4 linked regions of the Oreochromis niloticus genome follow. The protein of the gene in region 3 purifies or fractionates together with the protein of the main gene of each other region. This does not show direct contact. Links are inferred from orthologs where the notes say so. Each region holds a gene or a part of one and is shown on either strand. Other genes may lie near its edges. The genes, in order: phax, kpna3, ncbp2 and importin subunit alpha-1.

Evidence for each region.
Region 1: the proteins of ncbp2 (region 3) and phax purify together in Homo sapiens (affinity purification with mass spectrometry; 5 studies listed by BioGRID and IntAct, with this or other methods). This does not show direct contact. The link is inferred for Oreochromis niloticus from reciprocal best matches to the Homo sapiens genes NCBP2 and PHAX.
Region 2: the proteins of ncbp2 (region 3) and kpna3 purify together in Homo sapiens (co-immunoprecipitation; 3 studies listed by BioGRID and IntAct, with this or other methods). This does not show direct contact. The link is inferred for Oreochromis niloticus from reciprocal best matches to the Homo sapiens genes NCBP2 and KPNA3.
Region 4: the proteins of ncbp2 (region 3) and importin subunit alpha-1 purify together in Homo sapiens (affinity purification with mass spectrometry; 4 studies listed by BioGRID and IntAct, with this or other methods). This does not show direct contact. The link is inferred for Oreochromis niloticus from reciprocal best matches to the Homo sapiens genes NCBP2 and KPNA2.

What each region holds. Positions count from the first base shown.
Region 1 is NC_031981.2:38,745,719-38,753,411, reverse strand, and holds phax (phosphorylated adapter RNA export protein), read left to right. Parts: upstream 1-4,784; 5' UTR 4,785-5,192; coding exon 5,193-6,422; 3' UTR 6,423-7,186; downstream 7,187-7,693. Other genes in the region: pmpcb (mitochondrial-processing peptidase subunit beta), read right to left, coding at 340-415, 1,137-1,225, 1,297-1,382, 1,481-1,641, 1,809-1,952, 2,549-2,661, 2,819-2,898, 2,991-3,189 and 4 more. UniProt on the Homo sapiens protein: A phosphoprotein adapter involved in the XPO1-mediated U snRNA export from the nucleus.
Region 2 is NC_031987.2:21,794,101-21,801,391, reverse strand, and holds the start of kpna3 (importin subunit alpha-4), read left to right. Parts: upstream 1-4,289; 5' UTR 4,290-4,493; coding exon 4,494-4,562; intron 4,563-7,102; coding exon 7,103-7,147; intron 7,148-7,291. Other genes in the region: spryd7b (SPRY domain-containing protein 7b), read left to right, coding at 1,860-1,962, 2,983-3,080. UniProt on the Homo sapiens protein: Functions in nuclear protein import as an adapter protein for nuclear receptor KPNB1. Binds specifically and directly to substrates containing either a simple or bipartite NLS motif.
Region 3 is NC_031981.2:31,413,979-31,421,020, reverse strand, and holds the start of ncbp2 (nuclear cap-binding protein subunit 2), read left to right. Parts: upstream 1-4,018; 5' UTR 4,019-4,119; coding exon 4,120-4,194; intron 4,195-4,531; coding exon 4,532-4,618; intron 4,619-5,587; coding exon 5,588-5,682; intron 5,683-6,719; coding exon 6,720-6,858; intron 6,859-7,042. UniProt on the Homo sapiens protein: Component of the cap-binding complex (CBC), which binds co-transcriptionally to the 5' cap of pre-mRNAs and is involved in various processes such as pre-mRNA splicing, translation regulation, nonsense-mediated mRNA decay, RNA-mediated gene silencing (RNAi) by microRNAs (miRNAs) and mRNA export.
Region 4 is NC_031971.2:28,190,277-28,197,269, forward strand, and holds the start of importin subunit alpha-1, read right to left. Parts: upstream 3,009-6,993; 5' UTR 2,863-3,008; intron 2,852-2,862; exon of another isoform or gene 2,558-2,851; 5' UTR 2,510-2,557; coding exon 2,444-2,509; intron 2,345-2,443; coding exon 2,204-2,344; intron 1,756-2,203; coding exon 1,667-1,755; intron 1,164-1,666; coding exon 895-1,163; intron 496-894; coding exon 401-495; intron 1-400. Other genes in the region: procollagen C-endopeptidase enhancer 2, read left to right, coding at 5,630-5,774, 6,668-6,754.

The sequences.
Region 1 (7,693 bases), about 7.3 Mb from region 3:
CCTTTGACTGACTGCATCGTCACACTTTACACTGGAAGCTACGCTCACTTCCTGTTTTGGCTCAAGATTTAAACCCAGAGTTATGATAAACCATTCTTTTCTTTACAGGCGATAGAAAACTGATTAAAAGTGTAAATCAGGGCTAAAAGCCAAAATATCAGCCTGCATATTTCAGTCATTATAGTGATGATCAGTTGCATCAACAGCAGAGTTTTTGACAGAGTTCAAACTGGGATTCACTCCCCACTCTGACACTGAGCTGCCGGCTTCCTTCCATCTTATACTCGGTGAGTTTCGTTAAGTTCAGCCTCTGCAGGCGTCCTGTGTTTGAAAACGTACCGACTGCTGCGATGGCAGGAGCTCTGTTGTAGATGTATTTGGTGCACACGTCCTTTATGGTGTTGGCGTCGATGGCCTGTGGAGAGACATGACAAACATGGTGGAGGATCAGAGCAAAAAGAGCTTTTCAAACACTATTTCAGGTCCTGCTTAAAGAACACTGTGCCTGGGATGTTACCAGATTTACTTTGAGGTTTACTCGGCCTTACACAGTTTATCACTGTGACTCTGTTATTGTTCTGGTCTAACTGCTTTAAATGTAAAGAAACCTGACCTTATGAAAAATATACTCTTATGATGTATTTTAACTTTAAATATGGAAGCAGCAATAAGCACACACACGACGAGTGCTAGAAAGCTCAGCGTTCCCGGGATCTCACTTCCTCATCTGGTTTCAGTTTTTCTACGTTCAACAATCACGAAGGTGGAATTCTGCGACATTCTCCGACACCACGCTCTAAGAACGCATCAACGTGGAGATGTTGGAGACACGATACAGCAGCATGTGAGTGAGAGAGGGCCCTCCCAGTAAAGACACAGTCTCACCACTATAATCTGTCTAAACAAGTTACCATGGTTACCAGTTAAATAAAAAGGGAAGTACAGGCCTCAGTGAGCTGCAATAACAGAGACATACTGTTAGCTTTCATTTTTACTCCTTACAACAGTATAACAGAGCTAACTGCAGCTGCTGAATACTGAGAGTGCGCCCAGTTATGAACTTGTACAAAACGCAAATACTTACGTTGGATTTCCGGTAACAGTTACTGAGAAAGCAGAAGAATCTGTCGACTCACCTCAATCCGGGCTTCCAGCTCATGAAGAGGGATCCTGCGACTGTAGCACAGCATCTGTCTGCCGATGTCCTCGCAGATTGGGGTGGATCCTGGAGGAAGCGGATCAACACGTGAAACCAGGCACCGCACGACTGCACGCTCTACCGTCACGCTGCCTTACCGTCAAGATGCAGCAGCATGTTGGTCTTGAGCAGATTCTTGGCCCGAGCTACCTCACTCTCCGTCACACTGGTACAAAGAGAAATCCTGACAGGAAGCAGCGACACACAAGCGTTAAACACGTTCACGTCATCAGACTGTCATCAGGTTTAACCTTCTTTAAACCTGACGACTAAAGCACTCACCATTCCATTTGAGTGAAATGCATCATGTCGTTGATGGTGCTGGGTTCACACACCATGTAGAGTCCCCAGAGGCCTGTGTCTGTGTAGCAGGTGTTGAAGGACTGGAAGCTATGGCACAGGTTCCCCTGACAGGCCATCTGAGCCAGCTTACTGGACAGATTCTAAACTCAGAGGACATAAAAACAAATGATTTGCTGAATAAATGCTGAGCGTGTGGTGAGTATGTGTGGTCAGTTTTTATTTAAAGATGGCGAAGAAGAGGAAGAGCATTCAGCAGCAACACAGAGAAAACGACACGTGCCACATCCAAGGTTTCCTCAGTACTCACCACGCCTCCACCAAACGAGCGGTCCCAGTTTCCAATGAGCGTGTTGGCTACCATGAGTGGGATTGTGTCGGGGTGAGACCATCCGACAGCCTCTACGGCGATGGCGATGTGAGCGAGCGGCATTTTGTCGTCACGCACTCGGATCTGAAACGGTAGCAGAGTCCTGAAGCATTTACCAAATTAAAGCCGTTTTAATAACTTGAAATGAAACTCTGCACCAGTTTCACAGTCAACGAATGATTCAAAGCACACAAATACTTAACTAGGGTCTACTGGATCTACTGATATCTAAAGTTCTCAGTACTGTGATACAGGCCTGCAGGAGTTTTGTTTTGAAGGCACCAAGCTGGGTTAGAGCAAATCCAATCTGTGCATGTCTGGACTGAGACGAGCAGCAGGCGACACGATGCCTACGTGTTTATGGAAACTGAGTGCATGACTGTTTTTAAACGTCTTTTAAAACACTTCAAATACAACTTGAACGCAAACTTGTTCTGGTTACTCTGCTAAACAATATCTCACTGTCTCTCCGAGCATCTCCAGCTGCAGTATAATCGTTCATTTCAGGGAATATCTGACAGGCCTGAGCCATCACCTTTCATTTGCATCCTCCTTAGAGACATCCGTGTTACTCTGACACACTTGATCTTATACTTTAAATAACACAATTAGCTGCTCTGTGCTGATGTGACCATTTGATGCCCAGTTATGCAGTAGTGAGAAACTAAAGTTAGCCTTACCTCACTTCCTGTGAAATGGCACAGTGGAAGAGCCGGGGCTTCGCCTTGATGTCTGCCGGGAAGTTTTCCAAAGTGATACTTGGCCAAATCGATGAGCTCGTCATGACAAACACCTGAGCAGAGAGGGAACGAGTCCTGGAGATCAGATCAACTTTACTCTGGTTCAGAATTTATTGCTTACTTTGAGCAGTGCTCATGCATCAGTGAGTGTTTGCTGCAGGTTGTACAGAAAATGTTAACCAAACACGTGAGCAGACAAACAGCTCTGACCTCCAGCAGCAGCCAACACTATTCTGGGTCCTTTATAGTGAGCGGTGATATACTCCACCAGGTCTCCTCTGTTGATGGTCCTGCATCACAAACACACAGCAGGAAGCTAAGCTGTGCAGGATGCTGTCAGCAAACCTCAGAGTACTTTGTGTTTTTAGGTGTTTGGTCTCACTTGATGTTCTCAGTGGGGCCCAGGATGGTTCTTCCCAGTGCTGTGGACTGGTACGCTGTAGCATGCAGATAATCAAAGACCACCTCTTGCAGATTGGTCTCCACTTCCTGCATCTCTCTAAGGATCACCCCTCGCTCCCTCTCGATCTCCGCCTCTCCCAGCGTGCTGTTCTGGATGATGTCAGCCAGAATCTCCACAGCTTTGGCACAGAGAAATATTTTATACTTTAACACATTCCAGGTTTTTCTTTTGAGATGTTGCTGTGTAACATTCAGCCCTTCTGCCCTCCCGTACCTCTCGGAAGATCCTTGGAGAAAGCTTTGGCATAGTAAACAGTCTGCTCGCGGGATGTGTAGGCATTCAGGTGAGCCCCCATGTTCTCGATCTCCAACTCCAGATCAAGCTGAGAGCGTTTCCTAGTGCCCTGTCACACATTTACACAGACAAAGTGAACAAACTCTAGAATGTTATTTTCATTTTTAAAGAAACTGAACTATTACATTTATGTCATTATTTTGTTATTACGCTGCTGTGAACTATTTGAATGTGTTAATCCTGCACGGGGCAGCATACATTCAAATAAAGACCACTGCTTTAAAAACGTTCCTGCGTAGCTGCCATCACCTTAAATGCCATATGCTCCAGAAAGTGCGCTGTGCCGTTATTTCTCTCGTTCTCATAGCGACTCCCGGCATCTATCCACAAGCCCACCTGGAAGAAAGCAGGAATTAATATCCGCTTCCACAAACTGCTGCTACTGTATCACACCCCCACATCTCAGCCTGTAGTGGTAAAGCTAGCAAATGCTAACATTCTGTGTAATGCCTATTACATTTGGCTGGCTGCTTCACAATGGTCATGGTATTTTAACCACATATTTTCGTGCACGTATTAAAGCAGCCTGTTTTAAACTGTTTACTTCCAACTTACTGTGCAGGTGGGGAGCCCCGAGTCCTCAGATGCCACCCGGAGTCCGTTCTCTAAAGCAGTCACCTTGGTTTCGGGAACATTTAGCGCCACCTGGTGAGCAGCTTGAGTAGCCAAGAGTCTGTACGGTCCAGCGGTGAACTACGGGAGAAGAACAGCCAGTCATGACGCTTCAAAATTGGAGCGTTACGTTTGCTCCTACCAGTCAGCGATAATGAATAAATCTGCGCCATTGGCGGTTGTATTACACAGGGCACATCCGAACATCACCGTAAGAGTTGATTTGGTGATAGCTAAGATTTCGACGACTGTTAGCTAGCTTAAATAGCTGTTCGGCCATGCACAGAGCTTTTCCTCTGTAACACTGAGCACTGACAACTGTCACAGCTATATCAATTAAATGAGATACTCAAAACATGACTCTGAATCAATTCTTCTTACCCTGATTATTGAATTCTTCTTCAGTAAATGTCTTTGTAAGAAAAATCTCCCAGCAGAAGTGAGGCGCTGTACGGACGCCGCCATATTGTTTATCTGTAACGGTGCCGTTCTGCTGACGCAACATCCGCCGGAGATGACGACTTACTTTGTTCATAGTAGGTAAAAAATACCACAGGATTTGATGACAACCGCACAAAGAAATATATTCTTACAATCTCCTTAAATAATAAAAAATAGAGATAAACGCATCTGAACAAATACCTTTATATTTCAGACATTGATCAACCTATTATATGGAAATATGAAATGCCACACGTGTAAATGCCAGTGTAACCGATTGGTTTGTCCGTTAGCTCTGAATAAAGTATTAAAGTAATATATATTTACATTTAGGATACTTAAATTTAAGTGTTCTCAACCATATTTTATGTGATTCTGCAGTGTTTATAAAGAACGTTCTAACGTTTAATCGCTTTTGTTTATTTTGAAAGGGTGTCAGAATTTGCAGGCGGAAGTGTCGGTTTAGCCTAGCGCGGATTTTATTCCGTGAGTTTCAAGTTGGTCTGTTAGCTTCTTCCTAGCAGTTCAGTGTGTGAAATAGAACAAGGCTGAAGTCCAGCTGTATACAGAGCAGAAAGCCTGCTGCTGTAGCTTGCACTGGAGGTTTTTCCTCAGTAACCCGGACTTAATTAATTTTCTGTTGGGTTCAACGGTGTCGTTAGCTGCTAACGGTGCAGCGTTAGCTGTTCACGCTAATTAGTGGTCTCAACTTTAGCCGATGTAATAAAACAGGAGTGTGCAGCCATTAGCGTCGGTGTGGCTTTCAGAAAAGAAATGGCGGGAGGCGGAGATATCATGGACGGTGATCTGGAAGATGGAGAGATCTCTGGGTCCAGCTCGGATACTGAGATGGGACCAGCCACAGTAGCACAAGAAGCTCGACCCCAGGTTCCCTCGACTTTCTGCGGCCAGTCTTTCCAGAACAGAGCCTATGCTCAGGCACTTCCAGCCGAAGCTTATCGCAGCACAGGTAGGACGGCAGAGTCTAGTGACAGTGACCCGGAGTCCTCTGACGAGGAGGCGGCTGTTTGGCGCCGGAAACGCCAGAAAGTTACCATTGCTCCACAGCCGCCTGCATGCAACGCCCGGCTAGGGCCGACCCCTCTGCCCGCCCAGGGGACGACGGGTGGCCGCAAGGTGAATAACATTTGGGGCTCTGTAGTACAAGAGCAGTGCCAGGACGCTATCACTGCAGAACTTGGCATATTTGGCATGGATGGTGTTGGCATGTCCAGCAGGAATGTGGAGACTTATAATTTCGTCCTAGCTCGGAAGATAATGGAGAAGGAGAGGGAGATGGAGGCACAGTCAAATGAAGGAGGAGAAGTGAGCATGCTGGATGCTGAGCTGGAGGAGTACATGAAGGGTAGGGGGTCAGAAGAGAACACAGGAGCTGATGCAAAGAGAAAGAGGCCTGCAAAGGAGCGACTGGGCCCCAGAGAAGAGATGGATGTCAAAGGCCGCTATGAGATCACAGAAGGTGACCCTGAAGATAAGGTGATAGATGAGATTGCGTACAGGCTGCAGGAGCCCAAAAAGGAGCTGATCGCTCGAGTTGTCAAAGTAGTTGGCAAGAAAAAAGCCATAGAACTGCTCGGAGAGACTGCCACCCTGGAGGAGAGCGGCGGTGTGTACACCATGGATGGCAGCAGACGCCGGACACCGGGTGGGGTGTATCTCAACCTGTTGAAAAACACCCCCAGTATCACCAAGGCCCAAATCAAGCAGATATTCTTTGAGGAACAGGTGAAGGAGTACAAGAGCAAGAAGGCTGCCCAGAAGAGGAGGCGGCATTTGGTGGCCAAGAAGATGAAGCAGGCCATTGGCACACTAAACCTGCAGGAGCACGATGACGTCTCCAGAGAGACTTTTGCTAGTGATACCAACGAGGCTCTGGAGTCTCTGGAGGAAGCTGCAGAAGACGAGGAGGCACAAGAGGAAGCTGCTGTGGGCACTGAGGAGACAGCAGTGGTCTACAACGCGGCAGACCTGGAGGTGTTTTGAAAATGGCCTGCTGTCTGAACAACGATGCTAATGAAACACTGAAAGCACTGAATATGCGATTGATACAAAATCCACACTGGTGTCCTTTTTTGTTTATTTTTTTTTTTAAACCTCAGCAATAAAAGCAGCGCCTCTGTTAACACATAGCTTGTTTCATACAGCATGAACATGTTGATTGGAGCTTTTGCAGTTCAAATGTTGTTTGCCTTTTAAAACCAGTCCTTATCAACAAAATAATGTTGTGATAGTCAAATACATAACCATTTGTTGCTGTAAGCATCATTATAGAAACAGCTCTTGAGTTATTATTTTCATGCACCTCGGTCTGGAAAATAATAAAAGTGGTGACTCAGGTAAAAGAATTAAAAAACTGTAGGGTTCTTATTTTGTACACTCGCTTCCAAACACAAAATAATATAAATATTGAATAAGCGGAGTTTTATTATCATCAGATCATTATTACTGTCCTGTCATTCATACCAAGTGGAGCTTCTCAAAGAAAGCGAAGGCATTGAATGGCAGATGTAAAAGTGCTGAAGTGTCCACTAGATGGCAGCCATGTTCCAACTTCTGCAAGAGCTGATAGCCTTTTTAGTCCAAAGCTGTATATCAAAAGAACCCTTAACTGTTCCATACAGCATATATCAAAATGTATAATATAAAAGAATAACTCAAGAATTAAACTGAAAAATGCAAAACTGCATGTGTATGAGACTGCCACCTGCTATAGTAAAGGTTAAACTAACAGAGTTCACAGGTGTCTTGCTTAATTTGTGTAACTCTGGTACAAATGTACACAGTCCCCATGGCTTAGCCGTGTCACACATATGGCCTGGGGGCGAGAATCAGGCACACATGAAAGCTTATGAAAATGTAAAAGGAGGAATTATGTTTTTACAATTAAAAATAAATAAATCTATTTATTCATCCATTGAGCACCACAAATGATAAACGTCCACCACGTTAGACCTTTCACATTTTTCATTTATTTATGCAGGTGGTTAGGACAGAGTGTACTCCTAAATGACATCCTCAGTTACAACTTAAACATTTCTGCACTGATGAAAATTTCAGTTCCTGCTTTTGTTTGGATTTTTTTTGCGACACTACTACTCAACGAGTAGTGTCTTGATCAGGAATCCTAAATGTCAGCTGAAGAATGATGGATTTGCTACTTCATGGACAACGTTTTGCAGTTGATGGAACCATGAATACGGCTTTCTACAAGAAAATCATGAAGGACATCCTCAGTTACAACTTAAACATTTCTG
Region 2 (7,291 bases), on a different chromosome or scaffold from region 3:
AATAGTAGTACACCAAGTAGTGCACCAAAATCACCTGCCTTAAAAGAAAGCAAGAAGCTATTTCTGCAGATTAACTTGACATACTGGAACTACGTAAATGCAAAGGAAGAAACTTGTGCAAAGAGAATTATGAACTCTTTCCCCCATAAAGACATTTGATGACCTCCCCTGTACCCTATAACGGTGATTTTTGACTCCTCAGACACTCCTTCTGATTCTTTTCCCCATAAAGACACGGTTTGATGACCATTAGAGTAGTTTCCAGGTTTTTCCAAGGATAGCTGCATAGGCAGAGACCACCCTCGTAATTTCTGATGTAAACCCATTTATTTGGTTTTATAAGCAGGCCTAAACTTTGACAGAAACCACTCAGATCACAGTAGACTCTTAGTAGGCTTTAAAGGGGCAAAGAGTAAATCTATAAGTGATTATCATTAATTTTATTATGACACAAAGTATTTTCATTTTCATCAAATTTAGATCAACCACTCACTCTGCACTGTGTTTCAGATTTAGCTGTTTGAATGTTTTCTGACACACAGGGAGTGATCCATCTCTGCAAATATTTTTGCTAGAGAAACCAACTTGTATGAAAGTTGTGATTGATCACTGAGTTGCCGTACTGAGATTGTTTGAAGTGTGTGACTGTGAACATGCACACCATACACACAATTCAAGATGAGCTTATATTTTTTCAAAAAGCAATAGGATTTATCAGATCCAGCATTTGATCTGTGGTGTTTGTTCTGTCCTATATGATGGTACTCTGCAGCCCATGTGCAATGAGTCTGCACATTTATTTATATCAAATAATCATAAAGACAGATAGAGGCAGTCACAAAGTTAAAAAGAATATAAGTGCACGGCCTCTCTCAGAGACAGTAACTGGACCGCTTATTAGCAGTCGATGCTTTTCGACAGTTGTTTTTATGCAAGTAAGGTGAACTTTACACAGCTTGTAACTAACTAGCTTGTAAGGTTGTGGTGCAGCACACATGTACGTTATCATCTGTTCTCTTTATCACTTCTTACTGGAACACTAGGAGCTAAACAAACTGACATAGTGGCCCTCGCACACATTGGCCCTCACTAGTGTTTCTTGAGTAATTCAGGCTACTTAGGCATACTTCTAAACTCTTAAGTCTTTGATTACAAAGGCTAAAATGTAATTTACGGGTTCAATCGGCTAAGTGCTGATGATTATTACCTCTTTTCTGCTGATGCAGTGCAGTTTTGAGTCAGTTCTCGCTCGGCGCCTTTTGAGTACAAGCCCACATTTTGACAGGTTTGAAAACCAGCTGTTGTGTGGCAGAAGTTGGGGTGATTTCTGTGGGAAGAAAGTCATGAACACATTCAGTCTGTGGGCTGTAAATCATCTTTTTGGGGGTAGCCCCTCCCATTGATGTCAGTGGTTTCAGCTTTGGGAGCAGCAGTTTGGTGCTACAGTGTTGATGGGTTTGTTTGTTTTTGGTTTAAATGCATAGAACCGGTTTTGGATTAGACACTAACACTATGTTGGCGGCAGAGATTTAGCGTGTCTTCATCGTTTTGTTTATCCATCACAAAATGCCTTGGCATGTTTTTTAAATCCAACTTTGTCAGTCACATTTTCATTTGCCATAAGAGGAGAAAGCAAAGAAGTCTGTGAGATGGGAACCTTAGTGTTTTGTATTGTCTTCTTGTCTTTGTTTTTTTGATAAAAGTTCTGTTTAAGAGAGAAAAAAAACAACTTTTCCTGCTTCTTTTAAAATATAGAAAAGATTTTAAACATGGCACAGATGTAAGCTGTGACCTCCCGAGATAAGATACTTCAACAAGAGTTTCATGCTTTTCTCAGCTTGTGTATTTGTGTTCCTCAGGGCATCACATATGACCACGTGGAGCTGAATTTATATCTGAACGGAAAGAACATGCATTGTCCTGCCTCAGGGATCCGAGGCACTGTATACCCTGTTGTTTATGGTAAGTTGATTCTTGGTTTCATATTTTCACTAGTTATCAATGATTGCTAACCATATGATCATTGTTGCCTTACTTGAATATAACAAAACAAAAAATATATGGATCCTTTTGTATTCGTTATAGCAGTTACAACTTGATTCCACTAGAGGGCTGTATTGCACATCTTTGCACAGCTGTTCTGCAGACAGGCTGACAGATTTAGTTGAATAGAGTTTAATAGAGTTTTTAATGTGAATATTTCGCCACACACAGGAAAGAGTGCTCTATTTGAACTGATCAAACACAGCTTTCATCAGAAGGCAGCGGCCTTGCCACAGAGAATCGAGGCATGCATAATTTAGTCCAGTAAAAAGTTATTGCGATGATTTCAGTGACTTGATTCAGTTCTCCATCTGATGTGTGGAGCTTGTCCAGATAATGTTGGACAGCACACATGTAGGATGTTTGCTCTTGACCTGAACTCTCTAACTAAAGCTGTGATCAGAATGCAATCGCAAGTGTCCAAAATTGTATTTAAGATTGGGGTGGGGGGGGGGGGCGGCATCACCTGGAACCTGATCACATCACTTTTAATTTGGACTGCTTCCATGTGTACTTGTAAATCAGATCTTGGTGTAATATTGTGGCGTAAACAGCCAAATCACAATTAATTCGCTAGCATGTCCTGAGTGTCTGAGAGTTGTAGGTAACAGTTGCCGTTAATACCCAGATATTTAGGATGAAATCTGTTTCATTTATACCACCAATCCCAACCACTGCAATTCTGCATACACAAACACATCTATAATGTGCTGTTTTCATCCCTGTGTTTGGTAACATTCTCAGACAACACACGTACACAGGCTCAGGTTGAGGTTTTGAGAGTTTATCTCATAAACAGAAGAAAACCTAAAGCTGTTTTCACAGAGTATATACTTTCAGGGTCTTTAAAGGTGAAATTCAACCATAGAAAAGTTAAGATGTGAACAAGAATACAGTGTCTGAACTTATGATTTATCGTGTCTTTATCTTCTGTTCTAGTGGATGACAGTGCCATCTTAGACTGCCAGTTTAGTGACTTCTATCACACTCCTCCACAAGGATTTGAGAAGATCCTCTTTGAACAACAAATCTTCTAAAGGAGCACTTCGGCCTCAGCCCCTCTATATGTTGTCGCCCTCCTCTATATCTCTTAGCAACCTCTGTATCACTACAGTTTGACCTTAACTGGTAGTATCATTATGCGTGGCTTGGAGGCATCTTGTTTCGTTCCCCCTGTTTACTCTCTCTCTACTGCTGCTCTGGATTGACTTTAGAGTACCCATGAAGAAGTGGGGATTTCTCTTCCTTGTTCGACTACAATCGGCTGTCACAGTCCGTGATGATGGAAAGCTGTAAAATCACAAACTTATGTCAATAATAATCAATCCGTATTAATTGAAAACCTTTCAGTTGCTGCTTTAATCCACAATACATGTGTGTAGATAACAGACAATGGATGTAATGGTATGTTCACTGTTTTTCAGGATGAGAAGCCATGTGTTATTGACATTGCTTTATATATATATATATATATATATATATCATCCAAAATATCATACTAACATCTCAGCATACACCCTGTATTTATTTGTATTTATTTGATTTCCAGATCAAAGTTTGGCATCTTATTTTTTTGATATAATATGTATTTTGTTTTGGCCAGCAGAAATTAGTGACCCAATGAAGGGTCAGCTATAATTCTAATACATTGACTATTATGCTGCCTTTTTGAATTATCACGCAATGAAAACATGGCGATACCGCAACACCTTTATGATTAATGTCACTGCATTATTTAGAGTTGATAGGAAGATTAATACAAACAATAAATCAGTGCACATTCCAGGAGGTGATGGTGCTGGCAACTGACATATTTCTGAAATTGTAAACACTAATATATATAAATCACTTCTTTGAGCAGCCCTTTTTTCACCCTAAAAAATATAGAGTGTGTTTATTTTAACTATCAGAATATTTCCAGAGCTGGTGCTGGTCGTCTCTGATTAGAGATATATCAGAAACGTGGAGTTGTCGTTATGTACAGGCATTGCATATCCGCTGCTGAAGTGTGACGATTAAATATTTCAAATGCTTGTCCTTGTTTGCACTAATGATGTTATTGTATGAAACCAAATACTGTTGATTCATTAAAGTTTTGTGTCTGGCGGCATCATTCTGGAACACTGTCATGTCTTGAGATTGTAGATCATGAAGCTGAGTATTTTTCATGTGCCTCGCTGTTAACGTGGCGGTTTCGCAGCTTTTTTACGTCCGAAAGTCGTCGTCGTGCGCAATAAATCGCAGGTGAATTTATTGTCACTGCATCGAGGAAAGCCGTGGAAACCAGGGCAGCCCAGACAGGAGGTATGCAATAACTCCTCCCCTCACTCTGCGATCTGTTACGTACTCCTCCCTCTGTTCGGAGCCAGCAGCGGCGCAGGACCTGCCGTACATCGTCTTTCACGGAGGAGATCCCGAAAGCCGGAGTAACAGCTAAACCCCATACAGCCATGGCAGAAAACGCCGGCTTAGAAAACCACCGCATCAAGAGCTTTAAAAATAAGGGGCGTGATGTCGAGGTGAGCTGACATATAAACGTTAGTCTTCGTAACATGACTCGAATTAAATTTATGTAGAAAAAGAAGGTCTTTGGGCCTCCGTGGGGAGCCTGGCCCCGGCAAAGCTCCCTGCCAACCAGCCAGCCTGCTAGTTAGCAAGCTAGCTGGCTAATGCGAGCTATCGTGAGGAGTTCGCCATCAAAGGTGCTATCTTGCTACCGGTAAAATTCCTCGTAATGAACCAAAGGTGGTGATAGCTATCAAGTTCGTACCAGTGGCTTGCTAATATTGTAATGTCTGTGAACGATAAACTGTGTTCTATTTGAATCATTGGAACTGGGGAAATTAAAGGCAGGCGATGTAGCTGTCAGTGCCAGCTAGCGTTAACTAGCTACTTGCAGAGACACCGGTCACAAGCAAGGCTGGGCCCTCCCGGCTCCGTAATCCTGATGTTCGCTCTGTTTTACAGCCAGCTGAACTCAAATGACACCCGTGTTAACTCGCGAGCGTCTCACACAATTGCCATATTAAGCAAAAAGATAAGTGTGTGTATAATTAAATGTCTGTTCCACATCCACCCTAACCAAATATTGCCCCTCCTTGTTAGCTTGCTAATGTCAAGCAAATGACTAGCATGCGATGCCAGGTGAGGCGGCTGAAGAGGGCTGCTAACTAAGCCACTAAATGGTTAGCTGAAAGGTAGTGATGCGGTGACCTTAGCTTTACGGTACATTTTCAATCAGAAAAGCAAACTACACTGAAATTGCTACAACACCACGATGAAGTGAGGAGAGGCACTTTAGGCACAACATTAAGCTTCCATTGCTGTTAATAATAACTTTTTCTGACATTGCGATGTTATATGAAATTTCTTAAGTTAATCTTAGACATATTTCATAATAAACAGTGCTGTTACAGAATAAATGGTGAGGGCATTCGTATCAGATTCACTGCTAAGACTCATTCTAGAAAGCGCCATCAGTAGTCTGTCTGCACAGCTGGCAAATCTACGCTGGGCATTTTGCAGCATCATTCATCTCACGAGTCTAATTATAAATTTCTCTGACAGCATTTGACTGCAATGCTCATTGACATGATTACCAAACCATTTGGGTAAATGCTAGGCTAGGCTAGGTTCAGAGAAGTCAAGATAAAGGAAGCTGGGACCAAAGGCTCTAATGAAGTACCAGCTATTTTTTTTTGTTTTTTTTGTTAAAGATTCCATATGTTATTTTTGGATTTCATCAGTAAACAACGCTCAGCCATGGCATTCACCAACAAAGACACACTTGTGCTGTGTTGTTCTGATCTATTGGTAATCCTGCGATAATCCTCAAACAAAGGTATGTCTGGAAATGGCCCTTCAAAATCCACCAGTTTCCAGAAAAACTCCAGTTTCCAAAAACACAGATTGAAGACCTTTGGGTGGTTGTTTTGAAACTCGGAGTCACTTTGACAAGCACATGGCTACTATGACAAGCAGATTTGTGCCAAGTGAATTCCTGATGCTATTTTTGACAACTTGTCTGACCTGGGTCCTCTTAAGAGTGTCAGCGTGAATTTGAGTTTTTGTAAACGGATGACTCAGACTACAGCAGAGGGGGGGGAAAAAAGCCAGTTTGGGGTTTTATTTATTTAGGTCAGGCATAACAGATTGCTCTTCATTTCTGACACCATTTGGAACAGCAATGAATTGCAAAGCAGTAAAGCCTCGCTGCTACAGGCCATAAAACCCTTCTTTGTTTTACTGCACGTCATACACAGTGTAGATATTGGACAGGTTGTTTTTTGTTTTGTTTTTTTGGACCCCCAGTAACAAATTTGAAAAGAGTTTTTGTTTTTTCTCCCTTTTTTGGTGTGTTTGGTAGCACCTGTGTGCCCTCATCAATTTTAATTTTATTTAAACATATTTGTTGTACCAGTATTGTAGGAACTTTTAAATATTTTAGGTCCATCAAACAATCAGAATTTCAGCAATGAATCAGTTTAAATGTTTTGGTCTAGTTTAATTTGTCTTGATAGTCAAGCTGGACGGCTACTTTTCATCTCGGCAAAGGAAAACATTTTTCAGTGTAAGCGTCGTTATTGTTGTTTTGCAGTGTTTGGGAGACACCTCTGCTCTGCAGCCTCCCAAGTTATGACTTTCCCAAATTACGTAAGAGGCTATTTAGGAAAGCAACATGAACCTCTTCAAATAGTCACAAGATCTGAGACCATCTCAAACTGTTCTGGATGAATTGGAAACCCAGCAGACGCACAAATACAGCAATTAGTTACTCTCTTTCTCTGCTTGTCCTCTTTCTGAGTTGTTTTATTATGATCTCACTTTCAGTTGGATTGGTGATGGTTGCTTTTTGTGAGATGCAGAATCTTAGTTTTTCATCAATTTTGTGTCACCTGTTTTTAGTAGTTTTTTTTTAAAAATATATATCCATTAAATCACTTGGCGTAAAAGGCTACAGTGTCTGTTTTCTAACAGTAAATGACATGATTTCTCAAAAGTTGGGAAAATTTTCTCATTTCCTCTTGTGTATTTTTGTGTGTGTTTGTTTTCATTGCAGACTATGAGAAGACATCGAAATGAAGTGACAGTTGAGTTGAGAAAGGTGAGAAACAATACCCCATTCATCTACACACTCAAGTATTGCAAACCTTTTTCTGTTTTCCAACCAATGGGTTTGGACGTATCAAGTTTTAACATGCTTCATATGGATGTTTCACATTAAGAGTTTCTAGAAACACTTGGGAAG
Region 3 (7,042 bases):
TCACAGGACCTTAGAAGCATTACTGTGATGAAAAAAAGTGGGAAAGGCTAGAAAAACTAAAGTGACCTGAATGTTCATCAGTCTACAATGAGCCAAATTGTCTGTAAATTAGGTGTAATTTAGGGCTGCTGCTCCTCTGCATTTGAGACATACTGCAGAGATCATCCCAAGGTTTCAATCCCAAAAGAGGTAGCAGCAAAACACCTGCAGACATCTCCACAAATAGGATGAAAACAGTAAGGAAACCACTGCACTCCAAAAAAACCTGCTCCTAACTATTAAGCGTGGAGGTGGTAGTCTCATGTTTTGCAACTGTGTTCTCGAGCCCATGACACCTTGCGACAGTTGAAGAAATAATGAAGTTAAATTGCATGAAGACATTTTGTCAGGACAGCAGTCCATAACCTGGAGCTTGCAAAGCAATAAGAATACGAGTTAATTAGCACCAGAAAACTGGAAGACAGTGAAACAACATTAAGGTTTTGATTAGGTTTGACACTAATCCAGCTGAGATCCTGAGGTAGGACCTTCAGAGAGATTTTTTGATCTTCACATCCTGGGAGTTTTGTATAGGAAGGAAGGCTCCACTGTTTCTCCTCAGCATTCTGCATGTTGCGTAAGCACTTATTGGCCATATCTGATTGTTGAAGGATGTTTCACAAGTTATGGAATTCAAGAGTTAATTTTTAACTCTTTCCAGCCTTTGCCATAACTTCTTAATGTGTTAAATTAAACAATGAAAAGCACAACTATGTGTGTTAATTAGCTTAGTCAGGTTGTATTCAAGTTGAGTGAAATCATCGTAATTCCAAATGATTCACAAACTCCCTTCTTGAAGCTGTGCATAGATTTTAGAAGGTCAGCTTGTCCTTCTTCCTGACACAGAAGTAAGAATGTCTCTCACTTTTGCATTGTTTGCATGTCTTTTGAGCTTGGCTAGATTAGGTTAGCAGGTGTGTTAAGAGAAGGGATATTTACATTATGATTAAATCTCTGCCAGACCCAGCAGATCTGTCAGAATGGTCCGCATCACGCATTACTCACTTTCCCTCTCTTTGAGGATTGTTTGATCATTGAAAGGCTGATTGCTCCAGCAACAAAGCCGAAACCCAGACTAAACTATCTACACAGATAATAATGCTTTGTTCTTTGGAGAACTCAAAATGTAACTACTGCATATGAAAAACCTTCAGGATCTGTTAAGAGGATGATGTCCTTGAACATACTGATTTGATTGACACACACTGGTTGTTTTTTTGTTGTTTTTTTGCTTTGACTATAACAATATGTGCTTTCACTTTATTTTTCCAGGTTCCAGGAGGTGCTGCTGAGTGGAGACCATGTGACCTCTGATGAAGATTAAAAGGCAAATGTGAGAGAAGAGTCAGCAAAGCTCCTGTTTTCCTTCTACCAGCTTTGCTTTTTATTCAATAAACCTGTGCATTTTGTGTTCATAAAACGCGATTGAAACATGTTCAGATGAAGTAAGTTGATCTCTTGGAATAATTTAATCCTTCACAATTTTGTCATTTTATTTCAACACTATTCAATAACTTTTACCCCAATACTACTTGGTCACTTAAATACTACATGTTGTCTTCATATTACATAATGTTCAACAAAGTCTAGATCCTGGTTACCATAAAAATTGAATGGGTCTACAGCAACTACCATCCTCCTATCATCTTTATCCTGGTTGCAGGGGGGCTGGGAAATAACCCTGAAGTGATAGGTTACGAGGCAGGGTACAACCTGGACAGCTCACCAGTCTATCACATAGAAACAAACAACCATTTGCACTTACATTCACGGGTAATTTAGAATCACCAGTTAACCCTAACTCTAATAACTGCATGACTTTTAACTGTGGGAGGAAACCAGAATACCCACAGAGAAACCACTGCAAACAAGCCAGAATGTAGATTTGAACCCAAGACCTTCTTACTGTGAAGCAACAGCACTAACCACCATGCCAACAATCTAGGAAATACAGGAAAACTATGATTTCCTGTATTTGATGCAGAATTTTTTTGTTTTTGTCCTTCACAGGTTAATCCACAATAAATAGCAATAGCATGCACGTGGTGTGTGTGTGTAGTTGTCTGCCTCTTATATCTCCAGTGATTTTCCTGCAGTTTGAAATCTCGTGCGATCTTGTGAATTTCATGAGTTCAGCAACTAACCACTCTGACTAGATTGTTTTATGTCATCTCAACAAGAACAAATTAAGTTGTTGAATTTCGTACAGATCCTTCATGATTTAATTACGTTCATAGAAACACGAAATTATGTTCAAATTACAAGTTAGACTTTTTTAATGTAACAACCACCCAATTTACTTTTTTCGGTATACCAAAAAAGTAGAGGCGGCTGCTCGACTTGACTGAGATGGATGCCTTCCTCAAACCACGATCCAAAGAGCACGGGACTGAAACCCGTGCAGTGTCGCGGGATTTAACATTGCTATATTATTGACTTACTTCACTTGAACATGATATGAACAATTTAATCTAGCCTCTCTGCATATCATGTAGTCTCTACACTATATAGTTACATTTAACTTTAAAGCATGAGACACTTGTTTTAAATACACGCAAGATGCTTACGTAAAACGCTGGCCAGTCCCTTTTTTTCAGTGTGTATTTGACTGTGGGCTCAATACGCTGTACCGTCTCTTCATCTCTTTTCTTAATTTCTTTAATTTTATAAAGCGGGTTTATTCACATCTGCACACTGTTTTTGTTATTTAGGGGGTTTTTTGTTCAGGAAATAATTTAGTGTGAAGTGGGAGTCAGGTCAGACTAGGATACGTTTTGTTTTTTTTGTTTTTTTAACAGTAAGAATTTGAATTATGTAATAAAATGTTTGTAAGTACTTTTGTTCTTTTAATTTCTTTTTTTTTTTTACTACTTGAAAACTACTTTAGCTAACCCCTAGTTATTTCTATTTTAATTTCAAGCAGGCTTGCAATTGTTTTTATGGTCTTCAGCAGTAGTTCTGCAGGCTTTCTGAAAGTGTTACTAGCATCCTCTTGCAAAAATGCAAATTTTGTTTTCACTCTTCTAATTGAAACTAGAAAGACCCAAAATGGAAGACTGTCATGTATTTACTTCGTCAGAGCCCAGGCCTCAACATTATTGAAGTGGTGCACAATCATCTTCACAGACAATGGAGCAAAAGGCAGCCAACATCCAAAAAAGAGAGCTCAGCTTCATTAATTAATAATAACTTTTTGTTAAGCATAAGATCAAAGTAAATTAATTCTCCCCCCCCCCCCCCCCCACACACACAGACACATTTTCTCAACATATATAACATATATAAAACAGTAAAATATTAACAAAATAAACTATTTAAAAAAATAGCAGAAGAAGAACGAAGGAAAAGAGGGGCACTGATACTTTAGTAGCCAATAATAATAAAAGTGCAGTAGCCAACAGCATGGCACCACATCTCACACAGCTCCAGCAGTCATGTGACTTACGACTCAGTTTAACAGTAGCAAGCTTTCAGTCTTTTTGTGTCCAGTTTGGACACAAGAAACAAAACGAACGACAAACTTTTAAAACTGTAATATTAATGAATAAAAACAATCTGTAATTTGGGAATAAAAGCCAAATTTGTTGTTTTATTTTTATTTATTTATTTTTGTTGACTTTGAGGTACTGTGACCTTTCATTAAAAAACATATTTTAGTATTATTTAAAAAAAAAAAAGTTGAAGTTCATGCGTGATTATGCCCTTGTACTTGTGTAATAGAAACAGGACTCAAAATAGTATTTTGATGCGTAATTAACATTTTTTAACATTTTTTTTTTAAGGTTTGGGGGTTTTATGATTTATGCAAATAGGTCTTTAAACTGTCACAGACAGTCTGCCTGCTGGTAACAGTGACTGTATCTTGGCAATGATTGAATATCAACCGATGACTGTACAAATCACTGTTATGTGTTTTCTACAGTCAGTGATACCAACAGGCGGCGCCATTAACCTGATATAGAAGTTGCTGTACCCGGACTTATTCAAAGGACGGACACATGAAACGGAAGCAACATCATCGCTTTTCCGGCATGCTCCTAGTTGAATAGCAGCAAAGCGCCTCACTGCGATTTTTTCACGATGTCTGTTAAACTAAACGCGCTAAACAGTGATTCTTACATTGACATTAGTCAATACAGAGACCAACACTTTAAGGTAAATGAGGAAGTGGTCTTTAGGAACGCGGTGACTTATCATGATTTACGGGAATGTAAATGTAATGTATCTTATAGCTAACTGTTAGCAAACAACAAAGGCGAGCGGTGCTGTGCAGTGGAGGTGACTCGGGAACAAACAGAACAGCAAAACATATCTCTGTATTTTAACCTGGCCTTAAAAAGTCCTGATGTTGTTTTATGATGCTTCGTTAGGACTAAAGCGTGGCTAACTTATAAATTAACTCCTTGCTTCAACACAGGTCGTTTGATCGCTATAATGTCAACTTCTTGAGAGCAATTTTTTTAAACATTTGTAACGTTGCTTGTGCTTTTAGGGTAATCGCTATGAACAGGAGAAGCTTCTGAAGCAGAGCAACACTTTGTATGTGGGCAATCTCTCCTTCTACACCACCGAGGAGCAGGTAAGACACAATACCTTCACCAGTTAAAGTAATAACCCGGCTTTATTGGAAAGTTGCTTAATTTTTTAAAATAAAATTCTTCAAAGAGACCAATATGATGGGGGAAATGGCTGACTGAGCTACTAATAGATTAGGAGACTCATTTATAAAACAGTACATGTCATCTGCCTGATAAACAAACATGTTTAGTCAAATATTGTCCTCTAGTTATGCCACCAAAACACCACTGGCATTACACATAAGCTTCAAGTGTTTATATGTTCAGAGCAATCACACAGATTCCACTGATGTGTTGTCTCAGTGGAAGTTTTAATAGGTGAATTTGATACATTTATGAATTTAAGCCTTTTTTGAATTATGAAAAAAAGCTTATTTTGATTGTAAAACGCGTCAGACTATAAATTTACAGTCCATATGTGCAGGTGTTGACTGCACATATAGACTGACTAGAGTAGGTAGGTAGGGCATGTGTGTGACAGGCGCAGCAGTGCACTCGATGTTGGGTGGCTGTAGTTCAGGAGTTGGAGCAGGTTATCTACTAATTGGAAGATTGTTGGTTTGCCAAAGTATCCTTGGGCAAGATGCTGAACCCCAAGTTGCTTTCTAATTGTGTGTGACTGTGAGGTAGAAAGTGCTTGTATGAATGGATGAGTGAGCCATGTTGTGTGCCTGAAAAAAGTCATGTAAAGAATGGCATTTTAGCTGTTCTGAGCTTCACAGCAGCTTGACACTTTCAGCGGCACTGCACTGAAGCTGTCTTTGTGTTCAAGGGTTGGAAAATTTGATGGAAAAAACTGAACGTCAATGTGTCGCACATAAAATATATGTCAAAAACACATAATAGACATATTTTCAGTGTTGATTTTTCTGATAGTTTATCACAAGAGAAGTCCCAGAGTTGGGAAATTCACTGCAGATATTTTGTTAAATTTTCTCAAGTTTTCTAACTTTTTTTGCCACTGTGAACAGGTACACGAGCTGTTTTCTAAAAGTGGAGATGTCAAGCGTATCATCATTGGCCTCGACAAAATCAAGAAGACTGCTTGTGGGTTCTGCTTTGTCGAGTATCCTTCAAAAATGTTTAATTCATGCTAAAAGAAACTGTCAGTAATTTGACTGCCTTCAGAATAGGGCTGGGCGATATGGCCTAAAATCCATATCGCGGTATAATTTGAAGCACGTGCGGTAACGATATATATCGCGATATATTCTTTTCTTCTGTATAACGTATTTTCCACACTATGAGGCGCACTTAAAATCCTTTAATTTTCTCAAAAATCGAGAGTGTGCCTTATGTATGAATTCTGGTTGAGCTTACTGACCTCGAACCTAGTTTCCACCTAAACATGACATATCATGTTCTGACTGAGAGATTTTTGAAGCTAATTAAAACGTACAGCTCTGCTACCAGTTCCAACATAAATGAAGACAGAAAACAAACAGCAGTGGCGTTTGCAGGGTTACTGAAGTTGGACTACCTGGTATATAATGTTGTGCTACGTGATTGCTAGCGACACAGCTATGTTAGCATAATATTAGCACAGTGAAGCTGGAGGATGAACGCCAACTTTTTTTCCACTCGATAAAAGTTAACGTGAGGGTTTCTGGTGGTTAGGGACAAAGGCAATCGCATGGCAGGATGCTATACACGGGCCAAACTTCAGTCAGGAGAACAACTGAGATAATCCATCCACAATACAAGGTTAGTTATTAATATACTGCAACAACATGGGAATAGAACAGCTGCGAGAGAATTCAGCATTAATGAATCAATGTTACGGAAGTGGAGGAAGCGCAGTTTTTGGCTTTCCCCATATTTCAAAAGTGCTTCATCTCTTTGCTATGACTGTCACCCGGCATAATTTGCAGATGATTATGGTTGTAGCCGCTGCGATGCTTTCGACCAAAACAGGCGCAGCTTGATGACATCATCAACATGCGCTATCGCGGTAGAGCGGTATAGTCAAAATCTCTATCATTGGCCAAATTTATGTCGTTTCTATCGTATATCGTTTCTATCGCCCACCCCTACTTCAGAATCACCTTCAGAAGTTACCAGAACATCATGAATTGCACGTGTTGTGCCTTAACGCTGTCCCAGATACTACACCCGTGCAGATGCAGAGCATGCCATGCGCTTCATTAATGGCACACGGCTGGATGACCGCATCATCAGGACAGACTGGGATGCCGGCTTCAAGGAGGGAAGACAGTTTGGTCGTGGCAAATCAGGAGGACAGGTGAGGGTTAGGATATGAGTACTTTAATAAATGGAAGCAACCTGCTGTGGATGCCGACTGCTGGTTTATTTATTTATTTTTATTGGAGCAAACTACAAAGCTAAAAGTTAGTTCTGTGAGTAACTGCACTCGTATTTGAATTAATCCAAAAAGATATTAACCCACGACTAAAGTAATGTTAAAG
Region 4 (6,993 bases), on a different chromosome or scaffold from region 3:
AAAATAAAATGAGAGCAGCTCAGAGGGAACGTGTGCACTATGGATTACCCCAGTAAATAACTGCCCAATTTGCCCAAATCAAACCAGTGACCTCTCACTACTGTCAGCTAAAGGTGTGCATTACCTGTTGAACAGGAATAAAAAGATTCACAGCTCATGCTAAGGCCTCATTGATATTTGCCCCTTAAAATGTGTCAATCTACTTGAGCTTCAGTTTTGGATTGGTCTTTAATTACATATTTAATTGTTTATAGAATGCCAGAAAATTGCTGGTGTTCTATTTTGATATAAGGTATAAAAGCTGTTTGTTTCAACTTGTTCAGGTTGTTGATGTATGTATCGTGAGAGAATTTAATACAAATGTCTGTTAAAGGCACAATAATATTTGATAGAAACTCACAGGAAATACAGACAGGTCAGGGGCTGACAGCAAAGCCAGGAGTGAATGGACACCACCATGTGAGATCACTAGGTCTCTGGAACTGGGCCCATCACCTAAATATAGAGGGAAAAAAACATCTTTAGAGTAATCAGAAAAAAGGCACATAAAGGCAGATACTTTGAAACTACACAAGGTTAGCAAAGATAAAATTTCAGACTTCTAGTTTTTAGCTTAATCACGTTTGGAAAATGGACCCAAAGTGGGACTCAGCAACAACACACTTTTTACTGTATACATACAGAAATGCACTCTAAAGCCTTTAATATCACAGGCTAAATGGAACTCCAGATGAACTAAAGTGGGCACAATTGTCCACAATAATCTACAACGCATCCTGACATCAAAACTATCAGAACATACACCTGGAACAGTGTAGGATGTAGTAATGCACAGAAGTACATCAAATCACATCAAATCCAAAGAAAGAGGTTGAGTTTTGTGAGCCACAGTACCTGCAATGTTACCCAGAGCCCAAATGGCCTGTTCGCTGATGTGCTGATGGGGTGATGTCACCAGGCTGATGAAAGCTGGAATGGCCCCTCCATCTATTACAGCAGAAGTCTGGTCTGAAGTACCTGAGGCAATGTTAGTCAGGGCCCAAGCTGCCTCAAATTGGATGGGGGGGCATTCAGACAACGCCAGAAAACTAACAAACGTTGGGATGAGTCCAGCAGCAATGATGCTGTCAATAGGTGGCTGTTTTTCTCTGGAAAGTAGCCTTCTGTGAATCAGAAAAACAGAGTTGGATCGTTGTTAAAATTGAAGTAACTTAAAAGTAAAGGAAAATCAGTTTTCACACTGCTTAATATCATTGATATAGTAATACCAGTGATATAACTACAGGCAGATAGAGAGTGTTACAGAAGGAGGACAAAGAATAAGAATAGTACAGTGTACAACAAATAAACAAAGTTAAAGTGCCACAGGCCCATAGTGAGCCCCTTTTACTGGGAGAAAGCGCAAACATTTCATATATATACGACACCAATTTAAAAAAAAAAAAAAAAAATGAGGTTAAGTTTAAAAAAGTAAAAAACTGAGTGTGCAACAGAGTGGTGCAAATTGCACTGATAAAAAAAATATGTACACTATAATACACTACAAAAACACAAGTGCCTCGTTACGCAACCTTTTTTTTTCTTCCAGCTTGAGGTTGTCACTGAGCAACTGTCTCACACTTCCACACCCACACACAGTCAATTAACCTAACATTACAAGTATTACCTGGCTGCCTGCGTTGCCTGCAGCTTATAATCTAAATTCTCGCTGTTTACACCTCCGACAATTTCCTCTACAGTCCAGTGATGAGGAGGCTATGAAAACAGAAAGAGAAATGAAAGGGGATTACTGCCAATAAAACCAGAGCAGCTAAAAATAACACATTTAGAGGAACTTGCTTTGAATGTTTTTAGGTCATGGTAACTCAATCAGGGGAACATAGATCAATTATAAATGGACTTTTCATAAATTATCAGAGATACAACTTTTTAAAAAGTCAACAGTCTGTTATCACCAGACAGACACCTGCTCCAAGATTTAGTGACCTTTGGATAATGCTCGCAAATTGAGCAGGCTTAGCTTTTTTTCTTCCTGTGTGCATGCTCTGCAGAGGTGTTCATTTGGAGGCTGTTACATCCTGTTTATAACGAGTTAACTTCTGTAATAATCCAATGTTTCAAACAAGTTAAGCAGCTGTGGTTATATCAGGTGGGTCACCTTTACTCTCACAGCCAAACAAAACACAGAGGAGCTGCTGATTACCCTTACGTTGGGGTCTTTCTCTTGCAGAGGGGACGTTGGTTCGTCCAGAAGGCTGTGGACGTTTCTCCTCTTGAGGATGTGATCATCCTTCTTGGCTCTTCGCAGCTCCACATTGACTTCCGCTCTTCTGCGCCTCAGCTCCTGATCATACCGACAGACAAATAAAAGATATACCACAGCATTCAGGGCATTTGGGATACCGAATTAACTCTGACGTTTACTGCTAGGTTCAGAGCTTACATCAGCATCTTTTCCTTTATTTTTGAACTGGTTGAGTCTCGCTCCGTTGTCCGTGCCCGCTGACATTCCTGACCGTTGAGCAACACAATCGCTTCCACTAAAATCAGGCGCTACCTGTAATAATTTCACAACGACAAAGAATAAGCGGCAGCAGCCACGGTTGCTTTTAGTTTCAGGTGTCAACTAGTAAGCAGGCGCTGAGCTAGCTAACCAGGCGGTTATCTCGAAGCCAAGCCGGTTATCTAACACCATGTGGCCCTTCAGATATAGGGTCTGTCTAATAATCTAAAAACCCGCTGAAGCTCAGAAAACAAAGGTTATACGCTGTATTAGCAATTACAAAAGGTCAATAGCAATTTCAATTAGACAAAAAACAAATAAATGCACTATTAGCCACATAGCATGTACAACGTGCTTACCGTTCAGAATTCTTGTATTCTTTTAATATATGCACAACGTCACGTAACAACGTTCCAATTTTTCTGATTTTTAATTGGCCAGTTGGATTTTTTAGCACCGCCTCATTGGTCACGTTTAAGGAAAAAACCATCAAACAACAAATATGTTGTCAAAGGCAACCGCTGTCAGTATCGCGAGAAAACATGTTAACGTTTCTGTGCGGTAGCTTGTTCTTCTTGTGCTAAATGCTATTGCTGGGTTGTAAATTTTATCATGGCTAATTATTCCTCTTTTAAATAAAAAATACATGCAATTTTTACTATCAACTAAATGAATTATACCACTGACTACATATTCGATTTTCTATTTTCATGACTGAATTTTCCCTACCTGTGCGACGTAATGACCCAGTGGCCTAATGGATAAGGCATCAGCCTCCGGAGCTGGGGATTGTGGGTTCGAGTCCCATCTGGGTCGTATTTAGCTTCCTTTTCAGGGTTCTACTGTGAGCTCTTTCACAGATTCAGAAACAAGAATATTGGAACATTGGAACATCCGGTTGTACATTGTGTGATAATACTAACGAGACATTTTTTTATTTTTATTTTTTACAGTCATTGGGTTGAACATATGACCAGCGATGAATCCTGTAACAAGCTGTTTTCAACATTTTATGGTTTGTGCCTTGTTCATAAACCCATTCAGTTGATCTGCACAGTTATATTTGATATATATAAAATGTTAAAAAAAAAAAAATGAAAAGAACAAAAATCTCTCTACAGGTAACATACAGCAGATCTATGAAAAAGGGCCTCAAAGAACCTGTACCACAATATTATGGCTATCTAAACCGTCTGTAGCACAGCCACAACCATCCTGGAGACAATGAGGAGCAGTAAACCACTGTCTTATTGGCGACAGGGCAACAGAAATAGCAGCAGCTAACTGCTCTGTAAATATATCTGAATAACACAAAGTCATAAATATATATATTCAAAACAGGTTATTTGTTTATATCTTATTGACTACAGCCTATTTAACAATATAAGCCAACATATCAGACATTAAAAAACACATCTGCCATCACTGTTTTCAGATGTCTCTATTTCTGCTCAGCAGAGGGCAGTGAATACACATGGATCAGTCAGATCTAAAAACTGTATTTAAATTAAGTGAGGAAGGATGTTAACTTAGAAAGTCTTATTAGCTCTTGTTCCTAATTAGTACCTATTTAATATAACTAGGCTATTTATTATTAAATAACTAAAAAGCCCAGTAATGCAACTTCAAACAGTCAACTGGAAACCACATCCCAGGAAAAGTTTCACTTTGAATAAAACCTGACTTTGTGTGAAGCAGACAATACGCACACAGAGTCACAGTTTCCCTCAAAGGCTGTAAACAACACTGCGGGCCTATTCAGAATCCGTGCATGAATGAAAGGAGTGTCACGTCCAAGTGTTTATTTTCTGTGTTTGGGACGTCCCACCACCTCCCTCTTCCATCCCATCTCCTTCCTGAGCGCTCCTATAAAAATCCCAGGAATCCCAACTGTGTAGCAGACCCCTGAAAGTGTGTCCACAGTGAGCTTGAAGGATGGCAGGGATTACTTTGACGCTTTTGTTTGTGGTGTTTCCTCTTTACAACACAGAGGAGCATGTCGTTAATGGTGAGTGGATTATTTTTCTTAATCTTTTTTGAATGCCGTGTTTAGTGACATTATTATCATTCATAAATATCCTAAATATCTGTTATTACATGCAATTACAGATATACAATATGCTTTAGATGGAGAGTGAATTGACCTCATGTTGTACCTTCTATGTTTAACCCTGTAACATTAAGTGTATCATATTTAATAGATGAATTTCTGAGACCCTTACATCACCAGTGTGATGTTTTTAACCCTAACCCTCTTATGTGTTTTTGTTTTGCTGAGCAATAAATTGCACAAAAATGGCAGATGTAGCAAAAAATTATACAAATTAAGAGTCACATGTGCAAATTTATATTTATTTATGTATTTTTATTTATCATAAGGTTCAATAAACACTCAAGTATTTTTCAAAAATGACAAATCTGTAATTATTTCAGGCATAAAAGGGATAATATTGTATAATATTGTTTGTACTCTATTGATAATCGAGTAATTAGTAAGAATTCATCAAGGAAGGTCCACTTTATCAATTACACAAAATTCACCCATTGTCGTAGACCTCTTTTTGCCAAACTGCGCAACTAAAGTGAAGCTTTGTTTCTTTCGACTGCAGGTCTGTACACGCTGATAGAAAAGGGTCAGAGCAGCTTTGTGGATCCAGCTCTGAGCAATCAGAGCAGACTGGTGGTTAAAGAGCCCAACCTGCCCATCAACGAGCTCCTAGAGAAGAGCAGCAAGAGCAGCGAGTCCAAGTTCAGCCTCCATCCTCTTCCTTCTGCTGTGTGGCCCAAGCACACCGACCTGGCCCACATCCCCCGCCACCACAGTCCCCACAGCAAGAGCAAGAAGGGCCCAAAGAGCGACCGTTCGGAGGAGCACAACAGCGAGAAAGCCAGAGGAGAAGTTACTGGTCTGCATCCCAAAACCCAGCTCACAGCAGCTGCAGGTGCTTCCACCAACCGCACAGTACAGAAACCCAGTCAGGACACTCAGTCCAACATCAGTCCTCCTCACAACGGCGAGCCAGAGGGACACCCCAACTCCAGACCCAGGGCGCCGCCTCAGACCCAACCTCAGGCTCAGCCACAACAACCAGCTGTTCCCCCGCGCAAAGATCCCCCAACCGACGCATGGACCCAGAGGAGAACCGGCCAGGGAAGTCCAGTCTCTATCAGTCTGGCATCAGTGCAGCGACCCGGAACAACAGCCGCCCGCCGGTGATCTTTAACCGGCGCTCCTCCAGCCTGCTTTATCAGTTTGACATCATGCGGCGAGGTATGGGAGGATTTTTTTTCCTTTCCTGACCTCAAAATGTGACCTGTGCATAATTACAGAGCTGTCCAGATATCTTTTCATGGGTTCTTTGAACCTTACTCCCTTCTGGGAGTATAGATTTTAAATTATTAATCTTGAATAAGACTGTAGCCAGATGGGAACATCTTTGATCTTTAATATTACAATATTTCTCCCTCGTAACCATCTGCAGCCTCTGGCCTTTAAATAATATATATTACATGAGTGCAAATTACCAAAACAATAAAAACATTTGTTACAGAATGAAAAAGAGCTGCTTTGTGATTGTATTTTTCTTAGTGTCATTACTGGAAGTTGACGTTTGATCACAAGGAAAGGCCCAAACTCAATTTTATTATAAACCTTTAGTGGAAAAAAGTGGATCCTGCTGAGTTTAAATTTACACTGCTGTTTTCTTTCCTGTGCTTTAAATATCACTTTAATTATCACTTTGAAAAGTCCAATCTGTTGCTGTGCCAGTATATATGTCCTGTATGCTGACACAGGTCACAGAGTTCACACAGAGGGTTGTGATGAGAGCGGTGGCTTTGTCTTTTCCTCTGGTAGGTAATTAAAGTCTCCTGCCACTAATTATAACCGCTTCCCTCACTTCTGGCTGTCAGTGCATCCCCTGTGTGCAGCCCAGTGGTGGTTATAATGAAACTAATGCAAAGCAAGGGGGAAAGCTCTGATTTTGTAGTTAAGGTTAAAAAATGTACCACCAGCGTGATCCCGAGACACGGTCCACCTCCTCCAGCCCCCTGCCGAGGAATGTGACGCCTCGGTTTTGTAATGACAGCCTCGTCTTTTCTAATGATGCTGGAATGAGATTCAGTCATTCCCTGACTCGCTGTGTTTGTCCTCCTTCCCCACAGAGTCCGACTTCACACATGACGCCTTCTGTGTGAGCGAGTGCAGGAAGGAGAAGGACGAGAAGGAGCATTACTGCTACAGTGAATTTGGTACGTGTCTAATGTGAGACAAAGACAGACTGGTTTTCAGTGCTGGTCTTCTTTATCACACACACACACAAAATCACATTAACATGTTAGCCCTCTGGCCTGTTGTGCTATTATCAACCGTCATATTTTATGGAAACCTTGCTAAGATTTTTTTTTCAGTGTCACTCAGTTCCACCATCAAGTAAACGCAGACATTTATTTTGAGAAAATATCCAAAGTTGGTAAAGTTTAGATGGCTA